2 linked regions of the Daphnia pulex genome follow. The protein of the gene in region 2 purifies or fractionates together with the protein of the main gene of each other region. This does not show direct contact. Links are inferred from orthologs where the notes say so. Each region holds a gene or a part of one and is shown on either strand. Other genes may lie near its edges. The genes, in order: leucine--tRNA ligase, cytoplasmic-like; isoleucine--tRNA ligase, cytoplasmic-like.

Evidence for each region.
Region 1: the proteins of isoleucine--tRNA ligase, cytoplasmic-like (region 2) and leucine--tRNA ligase, cytoplasmic-like purify together in Homo sapiens (affinity purification with mass spectrometry; 7 studies listed by BioGRID and IntAct, counting the BioPlex papers as one, with this or other methods). This does not show direct contact. The link is inferred for Daphnia pulex from reciprocal best matches to the Homo sapiens genes IARS1 and LARS1.

Annotation. Positions count from the first base shown.
Region 1 is NC_060027.1:4,477,956-4,485,045, forward strand, and holds the start of leucine--tRNA ligase, cytoplasmic-like, read right to left. Parts: upstream 4,757-7,090; 5' UTR 4,622-4,756; exon of another isoform or gene 4,608-4,621; intron 4,555-4,607; 5' UTR 4,553-4,554; coding exon 4,268-4,552; intron 4,212-4,267; coding exon 4,088-4,211; intron 4,018-4,087; coding exon 3,848-4,017; intron 3,792-3,847; coding exon 3,547-3,791; intron 3,474-3,546; coding exon 3,248-3,473; intron 3,182-3,247; coding exon 3,009-3,181; intron 2,934-3,008; coding exon 2,761-2,933; intron 2,707-2,760; coding exon 2,568-2,706; intron 2,502-2,567; coding exon 2,197-2,501; intron 2,121-2,196; coding exon 1,880-2,120; intron 1,806-1,879; coding exon 1,605-1,805; intron 1,542-1,604; coding exon 1,387-1,541; intron 1,320-1,386; coding exon 886-1,319; intron 818-885; coding exon 605-817; intron 524-604; coding exon 289-523; intron 221-288; coding exon 12-220; 3' UTR 1-11. Other genes in the region: phosphoserine phosphatase-like, read left to right, coding at 5,535-5,674, 5,747-5,804, 5,872-5,948, 6,011-6,318, 6,379-6,473; mitochondrial import receptor subunit TOM22 homolog, read right to left, coding at 6,899-6,979, 7,047-7,090. UniProt on the Homo sapiens protein: Aminoacyl-tRNA synthetase that catalyzes the specific attachment of leucine to its cognate tRNA (tRNA(Leu)).
Region 2 is NC_060019.1:991,087-997,974, reverse strand, and holds the start of isoleucine--tRNA ligase, cytoplasmic-like, read right to left. Parts: upstream 4,875-6,888; 5' UTR 4,730-4,874; intron 4,445-4,729; 5' UTR 4,439-4,444; coding exon 4,320-4,438; intron 4,241-4,319; coding exon 3,933-4,240; intron 3,851-3,932; coding exon 3,662-3,850; intron 3,601-3,661; coding exon 3,472-3,600; intron 3,398-3,471; coding exon 3,249-3,397; intron 3,185-3,248; coding exon 2,769-3,184; intron 2,711-2,768; coding exon 2,312-2,710; intron 2,251-2,311; coding exon 2,112-2,250; intron 2,046-2,111; coding exon 1,869-2,045; intron 1,807-1,868; coding exon 1,594-1,806; intron 1,534-1,593; coding exon 1,340-1,533; intron 1,284-1,339; coding exon 1,181-1,283; intron 1,115-1,180; coding exon 899-1,114; intron 837-898; coding exon 678-836; intron 614-677; coding exon 476-613; intron 414-475; coding exon 276-413; intron 206-275; coding exon 69-205; intron 5-68; coding exon 1-4. Other genes in the region: mucin-21-like, read right to left, coding at 5,232-5,476, 5,540-5,657, 5,723-5,808, 5,933-6,518, 6,594-6,719, 6,794-6,888. UniProt on the Homo sapiens protein: Catalyzes the specific attachment of an amino acid to its cognate tRNA in a 2 step reaction: the amino acid (AA) is first activated by ATP to form AA-AMP and then transferred to the acceptor end of the tRNA.

The sequences.
Region 1 (7,090 bases), on a different chromosome or scaffold from region 2:
ATCCTTGAAATTTACAATGCAACAATATACGTCAAACTTGACCCAATGTCAATTTGTACCCCATTTTCCTCGACCGCAACCGTGTTACTTTCAACGTTCACGAAGAATGTACTTGCTTCAGTCAGCTGAACCTTTCCTCTTTCTAAATCGTCACTCGTAGGAATTTTTCTAGGGCCAAGAATAGGGTCTTGGAAGCGCCAAAGGCTAACGCGTTTGGGATCTAAAATACAGAGTAAGTTGTAAAATTGTATTGATTATTTTTATTTCTATTTATTACTGCCAAAATACCTTTAATTTGTTTATGATGTTTAACCAAACGACTGACTAATTTTGCCGGAGTATCACCCTGCATTACTGTCAGTTTTACTTCAAACAAACCAGAAAGAGGTTGAGGATTGACGAAGTTGATGGAAACTCCAGGTTGGTGACGGAAAGTAATATGAGGGGTGCCAGGAACGCAGTCTTCTTTAATCTTCTCATCAGCCGTTGAATCATCAGAATAAAGGACGTTCAAACCCTCTAACTGCTCATACCCAGTCCCGCATTCAAATGAATAAAATATACAATCATATGCACACATATTTCGTTTCCTATGTTAACTTACGTCTAACGTTGCGGTGAGATACTCTATGTTCTTCGTAATTACTTCTACTTCGTCGAAATCCATGGTTAGATTGAGGGCACGAATGCCGTGCTTGGCAACTTTTTCTTTCGCCACTTGAACAAAAGGCATTACTTTCTTTAGAGATTTTTTCAATTCTGGTTTCGAGCTTAGTTCAGTTGACAGCCATTTGTTGTCAGGCATAACTCCGTCTTTCTGAAATCAAAACGAAAATAGTGAAATGAGAAACACACACGCAAGTTATAATTCCAGCTTTTTTTTACGTTAAATCTTTCTTGAAGCAGGGTCAGAATAATTGATTGCCAAGTAGGGTAGCTTTTGGCTATCCAGATAGTTCCGTGGGTGGGTTTTCCAGTTGGTACATTGACGGCTTTTTTAGCGCCTTTCGACGTAAGTGATGCCAAGTATGCTTTCAGTCGCAAGCGGAATTCGTGAGCAGCCTGGTCTAAATAAGCGCCCGCGCTGATGAGAACGCTGTCGTATTCAGGAACTGTCGGCCACCGAGATTTCAATATGCTTTCTTTATGACCAAGCAGTTCCCAAATATGTTCCGCGACGTGCGGACAAATCGGGGAGAGAATAACAGCTTGAGTTTCGATATACTTCAAAATTAGTTTTTTATGAACGTTGCCCATGCTTATTTCTCTATAGGTGTCACGGATGGCTTGGTATTCAAAGAACCCAGTTCGGAGAGCCTCTGAATAAATTAAAAAGAAAAGTTAGATTTTTTAGAATTATAACTTCGGCTCCATTTAACTAAGTACCTTTAAAGAGCATGCGATCGTAATTCTGATTTGTCTCAACGATTTTGAGATTCATTTCATTATCAAAAACTTGATCGTTAAACGTGTAATCCGAATCTCTAAGTTGATCCACTGTTGCAAGGCATTCTTTAACCCAATCAATCAAGGTATACAACCTGTACAAATAAAAAAGGGTCAACTCGTACGTTAATTCTAATTGCAATATAATATAACGCTACCTCAAAATACCAGCGTCTGCCATTGCTTCAACGAAGTTTGCGTCTTCCACAGAATCACCCGAATCAGCCAAGGCTAACCTCATACCGTCAGCGCTAAACTTATCAATAGCGTCAGAAAGAGTCAAGAAGTTGCCTGTTGATTTTGACATTTTTTCAGAATTGAGCAGCAAGTGACCATTGGCTCGAATGGCTTGAGGCCACCTGGAATATAAAATTTGTAAAACAACAAACATTTATATTGGTTTACTTATTTTTTCCAGCATATTGTTGATTACCTGTTGGGTTCGTTTGGCCAGATGGCAACATGGTTGTATAGAAAATAGGTCAAATGGTTGGGAACCAAGTCCTTGCCTGATACGCGCAAGTCTACAGGATACCAAAAATTGAATTCTTTCTTCAAAGTACTCAATTTCTCTTGAGGAATCGTAGTCTTGGGTAGGGATGCTTCTTTGAAGAAAATGTAATCCCAGACCTCGGGTGTCATTTGATCGGCTTTGATCCCCAAGGCGTTTTCTCCTGAAATGTAACATCATTACGAAATAAAAAAATGTTTTAACTAAGGTTGGATGTTTATAGATATTTGATAATGTACCTCTTCCATCAAAAGTATTTCCTTGCAACAAATGCGCGACCGTATAGTACGCCATATAAATGGTGGAATCTGAAAGCGATTCTATTAGCCATTTTTCATCCCAAGGCAACTTCGAGCCAAGACCATAAGTTCGCGAGCACGCATGCTCTTTAAGCCAATCTAGGGTGGCAGTAAAGTTTTTACGAACTTCGTCGTGATAGGTTTCAGTTTTCGCCAAAGCTTCTGTAGTGCGTTCCCTCCAAACTCCCTTTCCGTAATCGAGATACCATTGGTCACAGAGAGCAACCACGCACTCGTCACCTGATCTATATGTCCAATATTTTGCATTAATATAACACGACAGAATAAATATGTGAAAGAACATTACACACCTTGAAATGATCGTTTTCTCTGGTTCCATGTAAACAACTGCTTGCGCTGCTTCAATCATTTCCTTCTGAATCACTTTTTTGACATCTTGCACTTTCTTGCCCTGATGAGGTCCAACAAGGAGAACGCCATCGTAGAACCCTAAAACTCAAAATTAGATCTATTTCTAACTTTCGTTAATGAAAATTATTATACCTTTCAAATAAACAAGTTCTTTAGCCTCTTGGAGTTTATCTCTGTCATTTTGACTCTGGATTTTGAAGCGATCGCATGCATAAACTGCACTCAGATTCCCCAGTTCAGGAACTTCTACAATTGGAACAGGCTCAAATGGTAAAACCATTTCATCCTTGATTCCGTATTTTTCTCTGTAAATAATTTTAAAAATCCGAAAAATGTTTAGAAAAATGTGGAAGACTGACGAACAGGAAACTTGTAAATACCTTAAGGGAGCTTTGTTTTTCAGATCCCGCAGAGCCGCATAATCATCTGGAGAATCAGAAGGAACACTGGTTACAATACCAGTTCCTTTATCTTCTTTGATTGTCAACATAGGCAAAGTGTAAATCGGAGAGAAACTAGCCAAGGGAGACTGTAATGCCGCACCCAGTATTTGCTATAAAAAAGGGGTAAGATATAACAAAATGTAATGGTGAAAACAACAATATAACGTTAGACTTACTTCGCCCTTGATTGTGGCTAAAACCACAACTGTTCCCACGTCAGCTGTCATTTTCTGGAACGACATGTTCAAAGCTGCTCGGTAGGTGCAAACAAAAATCTCATTGGATTTTGTTTCAAAGACAATATAATCCATGTCAGGTCGCAACCAGCAATTGGTTTGACCATACATTGTTTCCGGTCGAAGAGTAGCAGCTACCAAATAAATGGATTTCTTATTAAAAGGCCTGAAAATGAAAATACCAATTAGATGCATATAAAATAGAAAGAAGGAATTGGCAATCATTGTTAGCAACTTACTGCAAGACACTGGGTAATGGATCCAACACTTTCATTTTGATTAGTGTGTATTCCATAGGACCAACACCTTCTCCCGATGCCCGGTCGTGATCCATGCATGGTTGGTCGTCCTTGGGTGAAAAAATGGTGTACCTTTCACCAAACTGGATGTGACCACGATCTTTTAAACGCAAAAACTGCCAACGAACAAAGCTATCGTAAAAAGGATTTACGTCTGTCGTAATAAACGACCGTCGCCAATCAACCTAAGAAAAATACCGATTTAATCAACAATTTAAACACTGGAATTGAAGGAACTCACGTGCAAGCCTAACTTCATCAAATCTCTTTTAGCTAACGGAGGGAAAAATTTAAGCCAGTATTCTGCATTAGCGAAGGGCTTGATTTCCTCATCATTTAAGCCAAGACTTTGCATAATTTGCCATTGGTATTTGGCTGTGCCTGATTTAGCAACAGCCTTGCTTTTTTTGCCTATGACAAAAATAAATAATTTAGTCATTATTAACTACTAATTTACACAAATTTATAATAAGGAAGATACCCTTGGATTTATCCTTAGGAATTGAATTATCCTGAACTTCCTCTACTACTTCTTCCACATGTTCCGGAAACTTTGGTGGGAATCCAAACTGTTCCATCTCTCGTTTCAGTTTATCTGCACATGCCTGAAAAAATTTCATTAAACAACTTGATTTGTGATTTCAATAGATTTTAAGTTTACCTTAATTGGCATTCCTGTGCAATGAAATCCAAATGGATACAAACATTTTTTCCCCTTCAATCGCTGATAGCCCACAGCTAGATCACACTTCATTAGTGTAAAAGTATGTCCTAAATGCAACAGCCCGTTCATGTAAGGATATGGAAAGTTAACAAAGAATTTTTCAGCAGTTTCATCTTCAGGTGCATCTTCTTCAAATATCTTGTCATTTTCCCATTTTTCTTGAATCACTCTCTCAAGATCCAGAAGAAAATCAACCTTGAATCGCCCCTTTCTCTCAGTCATATCTAATATAAATCAAATAAATACAATATTATAGACACTGAAAATCAGAAATAACCTGAGGTATTTTACTGATTGAAAAAGAAGAAAATCCAAGAAGTTATCAAGCGATGACTTTTACGTCCGGCAAGCAGACGACAGAATATTCAATTGGGAAACGCAAGTCTTGCCTTGCCTCAGCAATTCACGATTATCTGATTGACCGATTACACGTGTGCAACACGCTCTAGCGGCTATATAAAAAGGCCAGGAATCTCGTTTTATTTATGTGCACATTACATGCATGTTATTTTTTCTTTAATTAATTACATATTTATAACATACATGAATGGGGATTCGGCGAAAAAAGAAATTCGAAATCGCAAATTAAAATCCCTTCCTCAACGTTCAGCGATTTAATTATAATAAAGACGGAAAAGGGGCGAAAGCCTAAAGTAGCGCAAATGCGCAACCAGCAACGTCTGATAGCATCTCAATTGGTTTGAAAATGGTTCCAATTTCCAAATGATCTTTGCACGAAAAGCTTTATCTGTACAAATTGAATGGCAAGCTTTTTATTTTTATTTCAAATCGCGCATTTCGAAGAGAACGAAACTTTCATATTTCCAAATCTTTCCCCGATAGGTATCTCACAAACAATAATTAAATTAATTCCTATCTTTGCAGCATTAGAATCGAATCGCCTTGCGATTTTGCATAAAGTAGAGCTGTTCCACAATTTTTTGAGTCACTTTCTGGGTTCCTTTTTAAAACACCGGCTTCCTAATAAAAAAAAAAGTTTTTTCTTTAGGCCTATCACTTAAGTGCTTGAAAATTTTTTCCGGGTTCCGTTTCCCGCGTCCCACTGTTTAGTAACCACTTACTTTAAAAGTATTAGTGGAAGAGAATAAAGGGGGAGGTTTTTGTATTCTTTCGAAGCCTCAGAAACGCGATCATTCATTGCGCTTAAATTTTCAACGGTTTTAGATCTATTTTATAGGTGGAAATGAGCACAAAACAAGCCGTTATTACATTGCTTAAACAAGCTGATGCAGTTTGCTTTGATGTTGATTCTACTGTGTGTATTGGAGAAGGAATTGATGACTTAGCACTCTGTTGTGGAAAAGGACAACAAGTGAAGGAAATGTAAACACAACTAAATTGCTTATCTTTTCAATTTTGAGTTTGTAGCTATTTTCTATACATATTTTATGATAGGACAAGCAAAGCTATGTCCGGAAACGTGGATTTTAGAGAAGCCCTTAAACTAAGACTTGTATATTAATTCATGTTAATTAAAATTTTATTACATAATACTTTAAATGATTATATTGTCTTATTAGAACCTGATTCAACCTCACTATGATCAAGTAGTGCAAATTGCCAAAGAACAACATCTCAAGATAACCCCTCATTTAGAGTAAAAGCAGTTTTTACTTAATATTTCCATGAATTTTATTTGATCAGTAATTTTATTTTTAGAACTTTAATAAAGACCCTTCATGTTCTAAACAAAAAACCATATTTAATATCTGGTGGATTTGAATCTTTGATACAACCAGTTGCAGATCACCTTGGAATTCCCAAAGAAAACATTTATGCTAATAAGCTTAAATTTTATCATGATGGAACCTATGCTGGATTTGATGAAGATCAACCAACTTCCAGATCAGGAGGAAAAAGCAAAGTGATTCAAACAATTAGGGAAAAATTTGGCCATTCAATTATTGTGATGATAGGTGATGGGATAACGGACTTGGAAGCATGCCCACCTGCTGATGCATTCATTGGTATAATCTAAAAAGAATGTTTTGTTATTCTATACCTACAAGTCCTTATTTTGGTAATAGGATATGGAGGCAATGTCGCGCGAGAGGTTGTTAAAGCTAATGCTGCATGGTTTGTTACAGATTTTCAAGATTTGATAAATGTTCTTACAGATTAACATTGTCTACGAAAATTGTCGTCTTCTTTGAACTATTTGTTATTGATCTAATAATGCAGTTACTGATTGCACTGGATGATAACCTAGTAATATACATCGATTACAAATTTCCGTTACCGCTATTTATTCATCTTCGAGTCGTTCGTTCTTTTTCAGGGGCCATCAATGTAAAACAAAAAAATATGTTTTAAGTAAATTGCCATTAGAAATACTAAACTAGACAAACTTCTTTTTACAACTATTAACTGACTGTTAGGCCTACAAAAAAATTAAAAAAATAGGCTAGTATAATGTGTGTGGAAGGGAGAACTAGAAAAACTTTTGTGGCTCTTGAGACAAATAAATTTTTTAAATGTCATTAGTTGTAATTTATCAAGCCAGTTACATAAAAAAAGACTACGGCGAACGAAGAATCTGACGAGATCTTAACGGATAGGTGATGGAACTGGTGCCATTCCTGGATGAGGACTGCCTCCTGACATGGCAGCACCAGGGCCCAACAATATCTTTTAAATTTCAGTAATATCAATATCAATTGGATAAGAGTATAAATTGTGTTTTTCACAAATATACCTGTCGTTGCTGTTGTTTCTGCATTTCTTCCATTTGTGCCCTTT
Region 2 (6,888 bases):
AAAGCTGCAATACAAAAAAAGAAACATTTAGATTTCAATTATGTTTTCAAAAATGAATTATCAATTACGGCGTAGATGGTTTCCCTCGGCCTGTAGGAGCCTGGGTGGCAACCAGAGACTTCTTGCCTGGAGGGACTCCGGCTTTCGCTGCCCAGTCGGCAGTGAATCCTTCTTGAATGGTCAGCACTAAATCTACACCTTGCAACTGTAGTTAAAAAATAAAATAATTTAACTCTATGAAGTTTATGAACAGTCGTGAAAAAATTCATTGTTACCTTTTGTGATTTGTTGATGAGGACTTTTGCACCCGACTTCTTGGATGGTGCTGCTCTCCATGGAACTTTAATGGCAGTCTCAATGTAATTTGAAAAACTCTTGACAACATCGGCTACGTATCCGGTAGGAGGAACAACCTGTTAAAATAACCACACGTTAATGGAAAGCTTGAAGGAGTTTATTAATAAAACAGTAATACCTCAAAGTAGACGCTGACGGCATCAGAAGGAGTTACGTGAGCTTCCTTGCGCAGTTTTTGGACCAAGTTAATGGCTTCTCGGGCCAAACCTTCGTCCTTCATGCTTTGGTCTTGGACTACATTCAACAACACCAACACCTGTCTCACATAGAAAAATTCAATAAAAAAAGCCAGGAAAATGGTTCTTAAACAGACAACTTACGTCTTTTTCCGCTTGTGTCTCGTATTGCTGGGCCAATTCAGCAGCTCGGTCACCAGTGAACTGGTAAAAGATCCGCAAATCCTCTGGACCCATCATGTTACCCAAAACATCGATCTGACCTTCGGTTAAGAATCCTTGTAGCTGCTCATCCGTCAGGGTCTAATTCAGTTCAATGAATAAATTTTAGTTCATGCATGTAATCACATTACGCAGTAAATAACCTTGATTGCAGCCATGACAGCCTTGAATTGGCCTTTGAGTCGCGCTCCAATGCGGTGATCCGGTTCTGCACGTAGACTGACTCCAAAACTGTCCTTGTCGGTGGTCAGTTTGAGAGCACGGACATTCAACTCTTCCAGAATGTATCGTTCCATAGTCCTCAATTCATCCAAGGACTCTTGCTCACGGAGGATAACAATCACTTCCGGCAAAGGGTACTGCAAATTATTTGAAAATGATAATCAATAACCGGCAGCGACAGAATATGAAAAAAACGATCGAACCTTGATGGGCAGAGTGCGGCGATCACGAAGAACACGTCCGAGTTCAATCACCACTTGCATCCGACTCACGGCATTTTCAATTTTGACATCAATCAAATGTTTCCTAATAAAAATGAAGCATTAGTAAATGTTGATTACTGCTTGTAGAATTTTTAATACTTTGGTTCAGGCGTAGAAAGGAAATGAACGGATTCCGTCGTTCCGGCTTTCTGGTTGGCCACTAAATGACGCAAGTTGCGGTACATCAATTCGGTCAGGAAGGGCGTGAATGGGGCCATAACACGGATCATGGAAAACAAGACACTGAAAAGTGTCTGCAAGGCGTGATGACAATCGTCCTTGCCACCATCTCCCTAAACGACCAAATGACAATTAATCTAAGGTGTTGTGAAAATAAACGAAAAGATTTTTACCTTTAGTCGCTTACGGTTCATCCGCACGTACCAGTTGGTCAGGTAGTCTACAAACCGGACAAGACGAGGAACAACAGTGTACAGCCGATAGGCAGCCATTTCTTGGTGGACGAATAGCAGCAAGGACTGAGTGTAGGAAATGATCCAGCGATCCATCACATTCGTTGACAAATTAGAGGCCTCTTCTTCATAAACGAATTTAATTCCATCTTCCTGTAGCCAAGAAAAATGCATCAATATCAAAATGTCTAACAATATCTAAAGAAAACACTTACGCGCTCGAGACGTTCAAGATTTTGGACAAAGAATCGGTAAGCGTTGTACCAGGGTAGGAAAACGTCTTTGATAATATCTCGAACACCTTCCTCTTTGAAGCGCAGATTCTCCGCACGAACAACTGGGGAGTTGATCAAGTAGAGACGAAGAGCATCAGCTCCAAATTTATTGACAACCTATAAAAGTCGAAAAAAGTAAGTTAAACCATTTTGTTTAGATAGAAAAAGAAAAAATAAACTTGCCAGCATTGGATCGGGGTAGTTCTTCTTCTTCTTTGACATTTTCTGGCCGTCACTGGCCAACACCAAGCCGTTGACAATCAAATTTTTGAACGGTGGTTTATTGAAGAGGGCAGTCGACAAAACCAACAGCGTATAGAACCTAAAACAGCCAAGATATTATTCGTTAAATGCCTACCTCAATTTACTATTAACAAACATACCATCCGCGTGTTTGATCAATGCCTTCGGCAATGAAATCGGCAGGGAAACAGTCCTCAAATTCTTTCCTGTTTTCAAACGGGTAGTGGACTTGAGCGTAAGGCATGGATCCAGATTCGAACCAACAGTCGAAAACCTCTGAGACACGTTTCAAGGGTGGCCGACCGGGAATTTTGGAGGGAATAGTGATGCCATCAACGTTCTCGCGATGCAAATCAGTCAATTCAATGCCCGTGAGTTCTTTCAACTCGGCGATGGATCCGACACACACCACCTCTTCGCCATCTTCCGACATCCAAATGGGAATTGGAGTGCCCCAGTAACGGTTGCGACTGACGGCCCAATCTCTGGCGTCACGCAGCCAGTTGCCGAACCGTTTTTCTTTGACAAAGTCGGGCACCCTAAATACAATTCATATGGGTCAACACGCAGTAACACGAAATGTATAACGTTTGTTACCAATAAGTTTTCTGGTTGTTTTCCAACAGCTGTTTGGACATTTGCTCCACACGGATGAACCAAGAAGGAACAGCACGGTAGATAAGGGGTGTTTCAGAGCGCCAGCAGAAAGGATAGCTGTGCTTTACGGTGCCGGAATTCACCAATCGGCCACAGTCTTTCAACATTTTGATAATGTTCTTGTCTGCATCTTTGACGTGCTGGCCGGCGAAATCAGTAACTGGATCAATGAATCTTCCTCCATCATCCACAGGACAAATCATCTCCTGATCTCTTGAGATAATGCCAGCTGCCAGGCAAACTCGGTAATCGTCCTCACCAAAGTATGGGGCTTGGTGAACGATACCAGTGCCGGATTCGTCGGTGACGTAGGAATCCGTTAAAACTTTAAATGCTCCAGAGCCGGAAGTCTTCAACTGTAAAAAAAAATCATGATTTAAATTACGACAGAATTTAATTATCTTTTAATTTCATAATTACGCTGGCAAAGTAAGGGAACAGTGGCAGATATGTTTTTCCCTTGAGAACTTCTCCTTTGAATCGTTCCACAATTTCGTATTCTTCTCCAGATTTGAAAAGTGCACTGAGACGAGCTTCCATCATGATGTAAACCTTTTCTGTTGCTTTTTCTATCAAGAAATATGGAGAATAAAATTGTTTTAGGTTTTACTTTATTTAATAGTTACAGTTGTCTTAAACAAACCTTTAACTCGAACATAGTCCAGCGTGGCGTTGACGCAAAGTGCAAGATTACTCGGCAGTGTCCATGGAGTAGTGGTCCATGCGAGAATAGACACTGACGGCTCATCGTCAAGCGGGAAGCTAACAATTACTGTATTTAAAAGACAAGTAATTAAGAATGGCTTGAATGTAAATAGAAATATATGATTTACCTGCCGGATCAACCACTTCTTTGTAGTTCTGTCCCGACTCGAAGTTGGACAATGGAGTACTACAAGCCGTCGAGAAAGGCATCACTTTGAATCCACGGTAGACTAGCCCCTTCTCGAAGAGTTGCTTGAAAACCCACCAGATTGATTCCATGAACCACGGGTAAAGGGTTTTGTAGTCATTCTCGAAATCTGAAACACAAAACATTGAAAAGATGATTTAAAAAATAGTAATTGAAACAAAAGAAGTTGATAGAAGGAAATTTTTACTTACCAATCCAACGTCCCATTCTGTTGACAATGGTCTCCCAGTCCTCTGCGTAACGCATGACAATCTTTCTGCACTCGGCGTTGTAATTGGCAATTCCCATTTTCATGACATCTTCTGGGCCTTTGATCCCAAGAGTTTTGTCAATTTCATATTCAACTGGAAGGCCATGTGTGTCCCATCCAAAACGCCTCTCAACATGAAAACCATTTTGATGAGCATATCGGGTGACAATATCCTTGATAGTTCCAGCTAAGATGTGCCCATAATGAGGAAGGCCAGTAGCGAATGGAGGTCCATCATAGAATGTGTACCTATGATAAGTAAAAATAAAATCAAAATGTTAAATTTGTAATTTTTAAGATGCAAATTAAATGGATTGATTTGCATTACCTAGGTTTCCCTTTGGACAATTTCAAACTGGTTTTAAATGCATCAATTTTCTTCCAGTATTCCAAGATTTTTCCTTCTTCCTGAGCAAAATCAATTGATTCGGGAACTGGTTCCACCATTTCTAACTGTAAAAAAAAGTGTGCAGAAAAATGTCTTTACATTTCGTAAAAAACATATGATGGACTGTTAACATGGTATCAATTTCCTACTTGTAAAGAGTTTTAACCAAGCAAAATAAACGATTCTGTAAACTTACAAAGTGCCACATAAACTGTTTTTGACACAATAACAAGAAAAACTGGTATTGAGTTCACATTGCTGACATAAGGAGCGATAAATTTGATTTTCTCATCAAACCAAATACTTCTATGAAATAAACTAAATGCATGCAATGATAACTTTATAATTACCTAAAAATAAATGAATCAATCCAAGAAACAGTAGCTTATCTATCTTCCACGAGATTTCCGGCTCTTGATCGCTGAATTGCTGAATTTTACATCAGAATTTCAAGAAAAATTCGTCTGCTACCAAACGCAACGTTGCCACACTTTCAACATACGTATTTCAAGGGCAACGTGAACAGGAAAAGAGGAACTGATGAAGGAGGCTGGGAGGGGAAATCACGAAACAAAACTCAACAAATCACGATATCTTATTATCTTACATTGAAAAATGCATAAGCTCTTTAATTGTGTCTCACAGATGGATCCATGATGGATCTAAACTAGTGGTTATGAGATACAATTAACTTAAGAAGTCAAAACTCAAGCGGTATGCTGATTGCTGGTGTATTTTTATTTTCGTATAAATTTCGAATTGATAACACACTGATATAAAAAAAATTTTACACGAAAAATATATATAAATAAATAATTGCAGATCTATTTATTACATCTGGATTTTACCAAGTTAATCAATTGATTCGCAAATGAATCTGAAAGAATTAGTGCAAAATATATCAGCCCAATAACCAGCACTAAAAGTTTTGATTAAATCAAGGTGAAGGCAATAACCCGGTCCGTTGTTATCAGGTTGGCCTGGACTCCAATTCACGTAAGTGAACGGCTGAAAGGGTTCTGTAGATGCCCATTCCCATATTTTTTCTCCATCCAGGGAATACATCCCTGAAGTCCAATAGCTGACGCTGTTCAACTCTAGATTCACGCAGGAAAAAAAATATAATTTATTCATTGCACGATTTTCACTTGACAATTTACCTGGTGTAATTTTGATATGGTCGTAAATTAACTTGTCCTCCTCTACAGTTTCAAGACTGAGCAAACCCATACCTTCATCTTTACAAAAGGTATCCGCGGATATCCAATTCTTGCCGACCTGAAAATTTGTTGAAATTTGAACCTCATAACAAAAAAAATCTGAAATCGTGATTGGTTTCTTACGGCGTCGGTGAAAAAGCAATAACATTTCCCACCCAAGGTCCAGCAAGGCAGTTTAGTATTTCCTTTCAAATACGATGGACAATCTTCTGCAAATAAAATTCAAAAGAAAAATCATCAATTCCAATGTAAAGTGATTGTAGTAGGGATATAACAGCAGGATTGCAAAGGGATGTAGCTCAAATAATTGAAATACGTTTTCACATGCCGTACCTCCTTCTGGAATAGTTGTTGCGAGTTCGGTGGTCGTTGTTATAGCGTCTGTTATGTCGGTAAATTCAGTCGATCCTGCTGACGTAATCCCTGTCGATTGCTCCTCTGTTGTCGTTTCTTCAGTTGTAACGGTTGTAGTTTGATCACTGGTGGTTGGTAAAGGAGTAGCAGATGTGGTTGTAATGGCTGGTGGTGATGTTTCAACGGTTTCCGTACCCGACGTTGATGTTTCAGGGATTTCCGTGCTTATTGTAGAAGTAATAGGACCCGTTGAGTTCTCCGTCAATTCAAAATCATTTGAAGATGTCGAGGTTGTTGGCGTGGTAGACGTGGTAGACGTGGTAGACGTGGTGGACGTGGTGGACGTGGTGGACGTGGTGGACGTGGTGGACGTGGTGGACGTGGTGGACAGAGTTGTTCCAGTCGATGTGGTAGATGAAGTCACTGGAGTAGCAGTCGTCAATGAAGAAGTTTTGGTCAGTGTAGTCGATGTGGTTGACGAAGACTCTTGAGAAGAAATGAAACGGAGGTCGTCGATGGCGACAGCATCTTCAGCATTCGTCCCGCAATAAGCGTAAAACACCAACTACTTTCGTAAGGCACAAAGTTCCAGATTAAAAAAGACACATCTCAAACAAGAAAACGAATACAAATTTAATACCGTCAAATTAGAGGATGAATCGTCCGTTATTGAAACGGTCTGAGACTGCCAAACTCGATTGTTGATATGGGAATGCTCGAACAAATTTGAAAGCAAACCTTCATTTCCGTTTCTGGCCAGATACAACTGCACATCAATTAGATAATTAACATTTAAACAAAGTCCGTCCTTCTGATAATATAAAATAATAATTTAATCACCTCCAAGTTTGTGAATTGTGGCCATTTAGAACGAATCCAAAAGGAGAATGAAAAGGAAACTTCGGTGTCAGACCCAAGGGTGAAGGTCTGACTGC